Macaca fascicularis: one gene and its partners. The protein of the gene in region 1 interacts with the protein of each later gene in a pairwise test. Links are inferred from orthologs where the notes say so. Each region holds a gene or a part of one and is shown in the gene's direction. Other genes may lie near its edges.

Region 1 (4,215 bases):
CTTTCTTACTTCACAAGCTTTATGTAAAGACCAAAGGAATTACTGGATGATACTGAAATGTTCAAAAAATAAAAAGCAAAAAAGCGTGATTGTGAGGTGCTTGCACTCCATCTTCCATGGCCTTCGTTTGCCAAGCTGAGGCCACCTACACTCCTTTGATAGCTTACTCAGCTCCACCACGCACGCATTTTTAAACAGAATGTGAGATGCAACATTTGGAGAAAAATACCAGGTAAAATTGAGGTACTGATGGCCGTTCCACCTTGTGTGGCTTTGCAGCTTCACCTCACAGATGTTCTAAGACCACAAGACGGGTGAGAATGAAGGCATCTGGCTGATTTTTCCCAAAACTTCCAAGATGCCCATATCTTCTTGTGGCATCAGCAGGTGCCAGTCCCAGCTGTCCTTTAAGCCTTTTCCTTCTTTCACCATAAGTGGCTGGAGAGACAGGCTCGTGAGTGGCATTGGAGAGGTTACCACTTGCCAGGGTTTTTGTTTTGTTTTTGAGACAGAGTCTTACTCTGTTGCCCAGGCTGGAGTGCAGTGGCATGATCTTGGCTCACCGCAACCTTCGTCTCCAGGGTTCAAGCGATTCTCCTGCCTCAGCCTCCTGAGTAGCTGGGATTACAGGTGCACCACCACACCCAGCTAATGTTTTGTATTTTTAGTAGAGATGGGGTTTCGCCATGTTGGCCAGGCTGGTCTTGAACTCCTGACCTCAAGTGATCCACCTGCCTCGGCCTCCCAAAGTCCTGAGATTACAGGCATGAGCCACCGGCCCTGCCAGGCTTCTAAGTAAGGACTCCCCATCAACTTGCCTATTTAACATCATCACCCTCACTTCCTGGATGAGAAAACTGAGGTGCAGAGATCTTTATTATGACCTGCTCCCAGCCACAGGTCTGGTAAGGAGTAGGATTAGGATTCAAGCCCACGTCTCCTTGATGCTGTCTTCAATCCCGACCCCTCCACTGTGCTGCTTCCCTGCTCGCGAAGGTGGCAACGCCACTGAGGTGCCCTGTGCCTTAGATCTCCAGCATCCCTGGGAAGGGCTGAGGGCAACCCCCAAGCTCCAGTTTCACTAATGGGAAAGCCAGGGCCTAAGACACTGGAATGAAAGCGTGTGGCGAGGGTAACAAGTGACTGTGAGGTTTGTAAAGCAGCTTCATGGTGATGTTTAACAAACTGGACGTTTTCTGAATGAGGATCTTGCATTGTCCAGTGGCAGTAGTGAGACTGAAGATGTCTTGCAAGCAGAGAGACCACACTAACTCTCCCACTCATCCCTGCAGCCCATCACCACGGGAGGGGTCACTTACCGGGAGCAGCCCTGGCACAAGGAGTGCTTTGTGTGCACCGCCTGCAGGAAGCAGCTGTCTGGGCAGCGCTTCACGGCTCGCGATGACTTTGCCTACTGCCTGAACTGCTTCTGTGACTTGTATGCCAAGAAGTGTGCTGGGTGTACCAACCCCATCAGCGGTGAGTGTCCCGGGGTCCCCACTTCGAAGAGGGATTGGAAGCTTGAACAAGGCCTAGCATTTTAGCATGTGACCCTGTCTATATCCCTAAACTTCCCAGACCTCCCTAAGGCTCTGAACACAGCAGACTTTTCTGCCTATCTGCTTTCCTCTCCTTGGTGCACTGGCTATGCTTCAGCAAGTAATGATTACTTCCTCTGCAGCCCACCGGATCACAACCGTATGGCCTGTGCTCTGGTTTAGTTTCTGCTTTGGGTTGGATTATCTCTAAAACTGCAGCCTGTGAGCCTGTAACACCACATAAGCACAATAAAAACTGGCCTTTTCAGGCTTAGCAGCTGTACTGTTTTCTTAGAAGTGTCCCCTAGCATCTTAGGGGGACGGTTGTACTCCAAAGCATCTTAGTGGGAAATTTCTGCCACAAGGCCACAGCTATATGAGGGCAGAGGGTACATTCTAAGGAGTTTTTCATATTGTATTCCCCCAAATGATCTGGCAAAGTGAGAGCCCAAAATCTGGCTGGCCGGCAGACCAGGCTTCTGGACTAGACTATTAAGCAGGCTGGAGAAATTCAGTGTGGAGAACAGATGACTTCACACTAAAGTCCTTTAGATGGTCACCACATATCACTACACAAATTAGTGACTGGGTGGGGAGAGAAAAGTGTGTCTTCTATAATAACACAGGAGAAGTTTTATGATGTGGGATTTTCAATCCCACTGCATTCAGTGGAGTGGTTCTTCCCTATCAGAGGAAGGTGGCAGACACATGGAGTACCTGGTGGCCTGGCTTTCCTATGTGGCTTTTCAGTGTCATTACAGAAACACATCTATACACCCCCTGTGTGCTTGTCCTTGACTTTCTTTTCCCTCAGGCCTAGAACGAAGTTCACCTAACTGAGCTAAATCACCTTCCCAGGTCACTAAAACAGTTCTCTCACGTATAATGCAGAGCTCATTACATTTCCATGTGAAATTAAAATATGAAGAAAAGCATAGTATTTACAGTTTACCTATGTTAAAATGTCTGTTTCTGGTCCTTTATGCACCACATTTCCCTTGGAATCATTTAGGGGGAAAATGCAATCTTTTGCCAAACATATTCATCTTTAATGCTGTTTTCAGCAGTAACTTCTGTTGAGGTAAATGTTTATAACATTAAGCTTTATAAAGTGATACAATCTATATAAAAGCACTTCCAAATGTAAAACGTTAGATATGAATGTGAATTGCGGTTATTGTAGCACTGAGAAAAAACACTAGGTAAAACCAACTGTATTATAATCAGGGACCAATGTACCTTAAATATTTGATTCCATTCTATCTGTCTGCAGCTTTCTCAGGATCTTTCTGCTGCAACAATATCCCTCTCCCCTCATTCCTACCCACATCGCACTTTACCTGTGAGGCTTTTCCTGGCCACCCCAGGGAGGATTAACTTTTTCCTCTTCTACACTCCCTTTGGTGCTTCAATCATTAAATCATAAAAATTTGAGCACCAGGCAACATGAGGCACCTAGTGAAGGCATAAGAGAAATCTGCTTCCTGTTCTCACAGAGTTTCATTTTGTGGGAAAACACATAACAAATATAGTCAGCATTCTTTGATGCACTTATCACATTGTTTTGGAACCAGTTTCTATCTCTCTTCTGATATTCACGAGATCCTCCAGGCTGTGCATAGAATCTGATTTATACATGGATTCCCAGCACCCATTCACTAGAAGTTCACACTATCCATATTACACAATCCAAACTTTGAAATGGATCAAACCACAATTCCTTCTTCAGTCCCAGTTGCCTGATTCTAATTTTCTTCATCCGCTATTATTTTCTCTCTGTTAACAGGACTTGGCGGCACAAAATACATCTCCTTTGAGGAACGGCAGTGGCATAACGACTGCTTTAACTGTAAGAAGTGCTCCCTCTCACTGGTGGGGCGTGGCTTCCTCACAGAGAGGGACGATATCCTGTGCCCCGACTGTGGGAAAGACATCTGAAGTCAACATGGAGAAGTTGCTGCTTGTGATCTCACACACAGATTTTTATGTTTTCTTTCTCACCCAGGCAATCTTGCCTTCTGGTTTCTTCCAGCCACATCGAGACTTTCTTCTAGTGCTTTTCAGTGATACTCACGTTTGCTTCAACCCTTTAGTGCTTTGTGCTAGTTCAGTCCCAGGGAAAGAGAAAACTCGCCCTAGGCCCTAGGTGGGAAGATGGTTTGAAATTTTTGTAATCGAGTAAGGCACACCCAAATGTAAAAATCCTTTTGAATGATGTCTTTATAAATCTTTCTCTCACTGCCTATTTAAGTGCAATTAATGTATGCCACGAACTTGAAAGTTTTCTAAACTCAGTAAGGTAATGACCAATTGGTATTTACAGCTCTGTAACTTCCTGTTGTGTCAAGTCTAAACCAAGATTATGTGACTTGCAATAAAGTTATTCAGAACAAAATCTTTTGCCAGGCACAGTGTGTGAAATCATGATTAAAGGTTGAGGCACTGAGTCTAAGTAACACGTCATTGCATGGTCCGATGGTCACTGTATGAAGTGCAGTTCCAATGGCCTGGGGCATTGCCAACTGGAATAGCATCACATCACACCCTTTATTTAAAGGAAGCTTCAGTCAACACCAGGCACCTCTTCCTTGCTACCTTCTCTCCCAATTTTTTTTTTTTTTTTTTTTTTGAGACAGAGTCTCACTCTGTTACCTAGGCTAAAGTGCGATGGCACAAT
Region 2 (4,714 bases), on another chromosome or scaffold:
TAAACAGACATAAAATACAAAGCTGCATTTTAAACGATTCAACAGACATAAAATTACTCTGTCAAACTCTTATAAGTTTCTACATGCTCATCTTCAATTTCTATGCTCATCCCTTTGTAGATGGGTAACGGTTTGCAGACTGTCACTATTCTATGAACCACACTTTGAACAGCACTCAACTAGAAAACTTCCAACAGGCCACTTAAGTTACTGGTGTTCCAGTTTCCAGGTTTTTGCAAGAGACTAATGAGAGAAAAGTAAGAGTAAGTACATGAAAGCACTTATTAAACTATAAAGTGTCCCAGGAAGGGAAATTAGTAGTATGGCTTAGAGAAGTCTATTCTGTGGTCTGTGGCCAAAAAATACAAACTCCAGTATGCCACCCTCTCAGTCCCTGTGGTGTCATGCTGTTCTGTTTCAGATGTATCATTTGAACTGTTAGTACCTGTGAATCAGTCAAGCATTTCCTAATGCTGAACAGAACAGGAAATAAAGACCTCTCTGGTAGCCTGTGACTTGCACCCCCAAAACCACCCTCATCTGCAGCTTGCTAAGATCACACCCCTGGGGCAAGGCATGCATTCATACACCGACTCTACCTGTGACACCTCTTCTACATGTGCAAATCATTTCACTAAGCCTGATACTTGCTTAGGGGTCAGAAGGAAAGCAAGAGGGAATATAATGCCCTGACTGCAGTCCCTAGTTTCCAGATTCCCCAGGGCCCACTTGTCCTCAGTTGGTGAAACTCAATACACAGACATCCCTCACCAATGCTTTCAGACTCCATTTCAAGTGCGGACTCTGCCCACACTGGTTCTAAGTGACCTACTTTGGCCTCACCTCTTTTCTCTCCACCCTGTCAAACAAGAAAGCGGTTACCTAGGAATATTCCAGAAGTCCGCTGAGTGGTTTTCTGAACATTCAACTTCTTTACTCTTTCTGGACTCCAAGAAGGCAAGCCCCCTGTCTGATTCATCCTTGTACCTCTCCCATCACCTTTAGCATCGCGCTTGGTACACAGCGGGTGCTCGGTAATGTTTGTCGAATGGCCCAAGGAATAGTACGAAATCTGTGGAAGCAGAAATGGCTCCTCCATTTACCCGACCTTGAACCATTCCAGAAAAGACCAACCAAATCCGATTAATTCATTGGGCAGAACTCTGCCAGGTACTGGACATTCGGAAACAAATTTCAGGGGGTTGGGGCAGATGGACGGGAAGCTAATGGTGGGTGGATGTACTACAAATTCAATAATCCGCAGTTATACCTCCACTTTCTGTGAAACGTCTCTCCGTGGCCCCAGGGCCCTTTAAATGTTACTGTGAGTGTTTTCCTCCATAGTGTCTGGGGCAGAGCCAAACTTTTGTGTAGGGGTTTGGCAGCGCTCATCCTCACAGCCCTGGGGACGGCTGGCACAGGGGCTGGCGAGGCGTTCGCACGCGAAGGAAACTTGCGAGGCGTCAGGGCGGCCCCGCGGAGGAGCGGGTCGTAGAGTGGGAGCCCTCAACTCCTAGAACTTCAGGTCCTCCATGAGAATAAGGGGAAGAGGGATGGCCAAAGACGGCCAGACGTCCACCGAGCTTCCCCAGGCCAGGCCTCTCCCCTCCTCCAGCCGGGCCACAACGCGGGCTCCGCGGCCCGGGGCAACATAGCCAGGGTGTCTGGGCGGGAGGCAGGGCCCGGCGCGGAGGAAGGAGCCTGGGGCCGCCGCCGCCCCGCCCACCCCAGCGAGGCGGAGCCGGCGCCCGGAGGAGCAGGAGGAGGAGGAGGAGAGGTCGGAGCCGTCTCCAGGAGCCCTTAGAGACCGAGTCCCGGCGGCGACGGCGGGGCAGCGCACCAGCAGGCGGGTGAGTACCAAGCGGCGGGCGCGGGTGGTGAGTCGGGTCCCCGCGGGGTCCGGGCGCGGCGCGGGGCGTCGGCCAGCGAGTTCGGGGGCCGCCTCCGAGTCCCGGGTGCTGGGAAGCGAGATGGAGGGAGGGAGCAGAGGAAGGAAGGAAGGAGGGAAGAGTGTCCTGTAGGGCGGGGACTGGTCGGGGCGCTGGGCGCCGGAGACCGGGGAGAGGCGGAGGAAGGGGGCAAGGGACACCCAGACCCAGAGGCAGAAACCGCGCGGTCGCCCTCGACGGGCGGCAACCCGAGGTCGCGGGGAGCCGGTGCCCCCACGGCTGGGGCTGGGGCTAGGCTAGGGGTGGAAGGAAAGGTCTCCCCGCGAGCTCGCTTGCCTCCTCGCCAGCCTGCGGCCGTGCGCCCCGCGCCCGATTGGGAGGCCCCCAGTGTTCCCAGCCCTGGCTTGTGGTGGTGCCAGGCGTTGGAGGAGGGCTGGAATCTGGGGGCGACAGAGACGCCACGCCCCTCTGCCTGCTTTCTACCTCCCGGGACCAGCCGGCGGGAGCGCAGCGTTGGAATCCACTGGGCGCTGGGGGTCTAGCAGGGAAATAGCGGGTCGCAGAGGGGAGAGCCCATATGACGCACCCTGCGAGGGACCCCCGAGTGGGGTCCCTAGGTTGCCCTTCTGCAGACTATATTTGCAGGTGATAAGGGGGAGGTTGAGGCTCAGTCTTGCGTGATTTTTTCTTAAAAAAATTATTGCCCCGACAGTTATCCCGTGGGTCAGGGTGACTTCTGTTTTTCATTGTAATTAGGGCGTATCAATAAAAGCTAACTTTAAAACCCTGTCAGCGCCTGCCGTCACTCACTCGTCCCTCGCTTTGTGTGTACTGTAAACTTGGCTTAAATCATTCATAACTCTCGGTAAGGAAGCCGTGATTCTTGTTCACGTCGCCGCGGTGGAGTGAAACTTTGCCCAGCTGGGGCTGAGTGGAGGCACTGCCGCGGCCGGTCATCTGGTGGTCATCCTGCCGGGCGTGGTTGTATACAAACAAGTGGGTAGAGAAGGAAATCTCTGAACGCCAGAGGTAGAAGGGAGGTTCCTGCGCCCACGTGTCAGGGCGCGTTTAATGGCTGCTCCCAGCGGAAACAAACGGGAATTTATTAGACCATGTGGAGTTGGACAAACTTCACATGATTAGCTTCCTTCCCATCAGTTACTTCCTCTCCCCCCCTGCTGTCTTTGCCGACACAGTTTATATTTCCTGGGGCGGTTGTAGCTTCGCCTGAATAGGCTGTCTATAATGAATCTTTTGGATGTCGTCAGAGGCAGGGTCTGCGTCTGTGCCTTCTCTATTTTAAAAGCGGAGTTTGGCTTTGTTTTTAAAAGTGCTAGTCACCAGACTGCACCCTTGCCAGCGCTTCTCAGCTCTCAAAGTAAATTATCGCAGGATGGCGGCCCTCACCTAGGAGAACCAGGAAGGCAGGCAGCGCTAGAACGACGGGATTGAATTTTACTATTGCCAAAACAATCACATTCAAGTAAGGAGCTGTTTTGTTTTGTTTTTGTTTTTTTTTTTAACCCAATTATATGTACTAGCAAGCCCCTTTTCTAGTAAACTAACATGATTCACACACACAATTTTTAAAGTAATCAAACATTTTACAGAGTCTTAAGTGATAAAAGGACTTTCAGATAAAATGTTCAGTCCCTTTGCCTTCTCTAATAGTTAACCAGCGCCGTAAAGCCCTGGTTTAAATCCAAAAAATGCTTAAAAGTCTACTGCGTCGTTAGACCTTATAAATAATGCAGTCCTATTTTTGCTGTATTTAACTCACGTAATTTACTAGATATCGAACACCCAACAGGGCACACAGCACTGAGATTTGTGTAGAAATATATGAAAATGTGAATCTGTGTTTCACAAGAGCCTGAAAAAAATAGTATTATAAAAATTTCCTGTCCAGAAAGCTCCAATCTTACTTGAAAGCTCTCTAACAATTAGATTTGTGGATTTGTGTTGTCACTTGTTAGAGAATATCGGTGGTTTATTAAAGTGTGAGAGCAAAGGGCTTCATGGTCAGAACACTCGAGGAAGTGGTTAGCCAATATCAGATTAGTTTTTTTTTTAATTGTTGAAAACTTCTGTCTAGCAGGAAAAAAAATCAAATTTAGAATTAAGTGATTTATTGTGTTTTGCTTTAATTTGGAGTTTTATGTCAGCTTAAGCTTAACCTAGAAAGGCAAGTTGTGAAAGTCAAGTAAATTTTTCTGAGCCCTAACTTGGAAGAGAAGCTTGTTTAACAGTGATTTGGGGTGTTGGCTTTGGAGTCAGACAGACTTAGATGAAAATATTAGCTATTTAACCTTTTCAGTCTGATTTATAAGATGGGGATAATAATGGTCTCTATCTGTAGGGCTTTAAAGTATGTGAAACAGTCTTTGGAAAACACTTAAACTGGACTTAACACACAGTACATGGTCAAAATTATTAGATATTAATCTAGCTTGTTCAAGCAGCAGGCTACTGGATAAATTGCAAGGTGGTAGCTTGAACCTTCCGAAAATGCTAGATAGAGCAATTTCAAATTCCACAGAAGTAACTGGTATGTGTGTGTGTGTGATGTTTCTACCACAACAATATGAATAATTATGATTAAAGGATTAATAGTTTTAATATGCTTTTAGTGCCAAAGTTACAGTTGCATAGTAATTTTGACAGAAACATTGCATTATCCTTTACATTTAAAGATAATTTATATTTCAAATAGTTGTGTTTATTAGCCCTAGGTAGGAAAGTAGCCAGGAACTGAAGTATTCATCTTTAACCAAGTATAATTCTTAATTAAAGTATGAAAACACGTGACCCAAGGGTATCTTGTT
Region 3 (4,097 bases), on another chromosome or scaffold:
CACTATTTTGCCTTTCCTGATCAAATAGCTGGCACTCGACTGCTGTAGCATATAAAGACTGACTGGCCCACTCACAGGTTATTTTCTTCCTCTTTTCTTATACTAAAGAGCCTGTCCTTGAAAAAAACATTCCAGGAAGGAATCTTTCTTGGGCCACAGAGCCCTGTGGTTTGATGAAAAAGAACAAGGCTTCAAGACTGGCTCTGCTATTACTTGTAGTGTAACATTGGATGTGTCTTAAATGCCCTCCTTGGGTCCCTCAGCAGCCTTCACCTACCTATCCAAATTTCACACAGTCTTGGACTTCTGCAGTTGGAAAGGATTTAAAATAATCACTCAGCACCATCTTCTATTTTACTCACAAGGCAATTAAAGCCAGGGTACCTGGGCTTGTTCAAGATTACATGACAAATTATTGTCAGGGCTAGCACTATGAACCCAGGGCTCTCAATTCCCAGTGTCCTTTTTAACTGTTTTGAGACTCTCTTTGGCTGAGCTCCCCTTGTCCTGTTAATCAGTGCCACACACTATTGAACTCTTGTTTTCTGTGTTAATCTTCTCTCCCCAAATTGTGGGGTGCTTGAAAGCAGGAACCACTGTTTTATGTGGAGGGAGTCCATATATATTCACCAATGGTTCATTAGGAAAGTAACTATTGGAATCCCACTGGGTCATTTCCAAAATGGAAAGCAGCATCTTGGAAGTGCAGGTTCCCAAATGTCTAAGGAGGTGACAAGAAGACAAGCAAAGAAAGAATACTGAGCACAGTGTCCTGTTGCAATACAGGACTTAGTTTGCCGGCCCTCTGGTTCCTTTCCTGGTCTTTCAGATGGAGCTGGAGCTACTTCAGCAGGGCTAAGAATAATCAAGTCCAGGTGGCCTGCCCTTCCATAGGAGAAAGGGATAGACAATAGAGCAATGAAATTACCATTGTTTTCTGCACAGAGGTGTGTGGAAAGGAGAGGGGAAGTTAACAAATTTGCTGACCCAGTGGGGGGCTCTTAAAAAGGTTTATATAGGAATTGTCCCATCTGTGCCTCCACATTTAAAACCTTGTCTAAAATTCTAATTGAACTCACCAAGCACAACTGTGCATATATTTGGTTCGTTATGGAGTTCACAGGGCAGAGGGTCCAGGCTCCTTTTTTCCCCATGCAAAAAGCATGGGCTCAGGCTTTCTTCTTTTCCCCTGTTGCTCAAATAAATAGTGTTCTTTGCTCAAACCCCCTTTCCCTCCTCCTTCTGCAATCTCAGCGCCTAGCGCAAATCTGTTTTCTTCATTGTAACCTTAGCTTCACCGCAATTAATTTTTTTTCCCTCTGGTCACAAGATAATTCCTGACGCCAGTGAGTCTGGAGGTCAGACGAACAGCAAATTGGGGAACAAGGCGGCACTAATTCCTTACAAGTTTCCCTTGAAAAATCTTTTGCTTAAAAAAAGGGAGGGGGGAGCTTCTTTGCTGTTCAGGGATTTATGACCTCGGAGGAGCTGTGGGTTCGAACCAGTGTTGGGCTAAAGGCGGACTGGCAGGGGGCAGGGAAGCTCAAATATCTGGGGCGCTGCCAGGAAAAAGCAAATTCTTGAAGTTAATGGTTTTGAGTGATTTTTAAATCCTTGCTGGCGAAGAGGCCCGCCTCGCCCCAGTATCAGCGCTTCCTCATTCTTTGAATCCGCGGCTCCGCGGTCTTCGGCGTCAGACCAGCCGGAGGAAGCCTGTTTGCAATTTAAGCGGGCTGTGAACGCCCAGGGCCGGCAGGGGCGTGGCCGAGGCGGGCCGTTTTGAATAAAGGGGCGTGCCTTCGAGGCGGGCTCTATAAGTGCCCGCGGCCGCGAGCGTGTGCGTATTGCAAGCCGCTGTGAGGGGATTTCTTTGGGTTTTCTTCCCCTTTTGGGCACCTCTGGACTCACTCCCCAGCAATGAAGGCGCTGAGCCCGGTGCGCGGCTGCTACGAGGCAGTGTGCTGTCTGTCTGAACGCAGTCTGGCCATCGCCCGGGGCCGAGGCAAGGGCCCGGCAGCCGAGGAGCCGCTGAGCCTGCTGGACGACATGAACCACTGCTACTCCCGCCTGCGGGAACTGGTACCTGGAGTCCCGAGAGGCACTCAGCTTAGCCAGGTGGAAATCCTACAGCGCGTCATCGACTACATCCTCGACCTGCAGGTGGTCCTGGCCGAGCCAGTCCCAGGACCCCCGGACAGCCCTCATCTCCCCATCCAGGTAAGCCTGGAAGCCGGAGCAGGGCTGAACACTCAGGCAAGGATGCTGCCAGCCCCTTGGAGCGCCAGATTGCCTTGTGTAACTCTTCCCTCTTTTTCTCTTTTATCAGACAGCCGAACTCGCTCCGGAACTTGTCATCTCCAACGACAAAAGGAGCTTCTGCCACTGACCCGGCCGTGTCCTGACACCTCCAGGTGAGCATCTCCTCCCTTGGAGAGGGAGGTTTAAACGGCCAGTTCTGGAGTTGGCAGACCTTTTTAAAGATTGCCACTCCCTCGGTTTAGGGAAATCGAGGCCAGAGACGGACAAGTGACTTGCCCATGGTAGCGTTAAATGAATGGCAGAGTCAGTTGCCATGTGATGTGCGTTTCAGCCTTAAACGGGCGTCGCCCCTGCCCTCATGCTGTGGCCGAGGGTCTGGGAAAGTAGACGCGGGTCCGACTAAATAGTAAGTCTCTGATCGGAGTTGTATAGGGAGCTGTGTCTTCGGCAGCCCCCTCCCAGCTAGTGTCAGTTCCAAGTGGGAGGGGTAGTGCAAGCTCCGCCTGTGGTCTTTGGCGCCAACTGGGTGGGGGCAGCGTGGGGCACGGAGTTATCAGCTGGAGGTAGAGACCAAGTTTCCTCCCTGGCGCCGACCAGTCTGCGGACGGCCCCCGCCTCGGCGCGCTCGGCGGAAACTGACTGCTCCTTGGTCTTCTTTCCTCCCCCGCCCAGAACGCAGGTGCTGGCGCCCGTTCGGCCTGGGACCCCGGGAACCTCTCCTGCCGGAAGCCAGACGGCATGGATGGGCCCCAACTTCGCCCTGCCCACTTCACCAAACCCCTTCCTGGAGGCTGAACCTGGTGCTCTGGAGCGAAGGACTGTGAACTTGTGTGGCCTGAAGAGCCAGAGCTAGCTCTGGCCACCAGCTGGGCGACATCACCCTGCCCTTGCCCCACCCCCAAGTTTTAAGGACTGTCTTTTCAGAGCTTGGAGGTGTGGAAGGAGTGGCTGCTCTCCAACTATGCCAAGGCGGCGGCAGAGCTGGTCTTCTGGTCTCCTTGGAGAAAGGTTCTGTTGCCCTGATTTATGAACTCTATAATAGAGTATATAGGTTTTTGTACCTTTTTTTACAGGAAGGTGACTTTCTGTAACAATGCGATGTATATTAAACTTTTTATAAAAGTTAACATTTTGCATAATAAACGATTTTTAAACACTTGTGTATATGATGACACCCGTCTCCACTAAGTACTAATGATGCTTTCTCTCACATGGCTGCATTTAGGGAGCTTTGGGAAAGTGAACTTGCTCACTCCCATGAGAGAGAGATGAAAAACTGCCCAGCTGAGAGGGGATGGGGTGGGGAGAGAAGGGTTCATGATGGGAGTCCCATGGCCATTGAGTGATGGGTGCAGAGAAGAGATCTGGACTCTGCCTTGTTATTTCCTGGATGAAGGGAAACCAGAGAGACTGGTGCAAGCTCGCCCAGCAAGTTGGGGGTTCAGGCAAGTTGAGAACTGAGTTTTCATGTCCCCTGAGATCTAGCAGTAGCTTTCCTCTTTATTGTCACTATAAACTATGTCTTTCTAGCAGGGGATGTGGTAAGAGTAGAGCCTCAAGTTTGCCTCACCTGGTGCCCAGACATGGGTGGTGGTTGATAGACCAATTCCAGAAATGAATAAACTGATAACTGGGCCTGGTTTCATTTCCTTTTTGCTCTCTGGGCTGGCTTCCTTGCGGGCTTCCAAAATTGAAAAAAAAAGAGAGGAGGTCTCTCCTGAAAAGGATAAGAAAGATTTGGATGCTGGTTGGGAAGTACTGATACTGATCCCTTCTCTAACACTAGGTGGTTGTAGAGTCCGACCCTGAACAAGGAATGTGAGGCAGAGACTCCACAG

The links.
Region 2: the proteins of FHL2 (region 1) and GNG12 interact in binary tests that used the Homo sapiens proteins (3 or more experiments, as listed by UniProt). The link is inferred for Macaca fascicularis from reciprocal best matches to the Homo sapiens genes FHL2 and GNG12.
Region 3: the proteins of FHL2 (region 1) and ID3 interact in binary tests that used the Homo sapiens proteins (3 or more experiments, as listed by UniProt). The link is inferred for Macaca fascicularis from reciprocal best matches to the Homo sapiens genes FHL2 and ID3.

Annotation. Positions count from the first base shown.
Region 1 is NC_088387.1:9,791,439-9,795,653, reverse strand, and holds the end of FHL2 (four and a half LIM domains protein 2), read left to right. Parts: intron 1-1,292; coding exon 1,293-1,479; intron 1,480-3,324; coding exon 3,325-3,476; 3' UTR 3,477-3,933; downstream 3,934-4,215. UniProt on the Homo sapiens protein: May function as a molecular transmitter linking various signaling pathways to transcriptional regulation. Negatively regulates the transcriptional repressor E4F1 and may function in cell growth.
Region 2 is NC_088375.1:166,844,760-166,849,473, forward strand, and holds the start of GNG12 (guanine nucleotide-binding protein G(I)/G(S)/G(O) subunit gamma-12), read left to right. Parts: upstream 1-1,732; 5' UTR 1,733-1,850; intron 1,851-3,078; exon of another isoform or gene 3,079-3,372; intron 3,373-4,714. UniProt on the Homo sapiens protein: Guanine nucleotide-binding proteins (G proteins) are involved as a modulator or transducer in various transmembrane signaling systems.
Region 3 is NC_088375.1:211,559,358-211,563,454, forward strand, and holds ID3 (protein FAM219A), read left to right. Parts: upstream 1-1,841; 5' UTR 1,842-1,917; coding exon 1,918-2,217; intron 2,218-2,326; coding exon 2,327-2,386; 3' UTR 2,387-2,411; intron 2,412-2,854; exon of another isoform or gene 2,855-2,931; 3' UTR 2,932-3,415; downstream 3,416-4,097. UniProt on the Homo sapiens protein: Transcriptional regulator (lacking a basic DNA binding domain) which negatively regulates the basic helix-loop-helix (bHLH) transcription factors by forming heterodimers and inhibiting their DNA binding and transcriptional activity.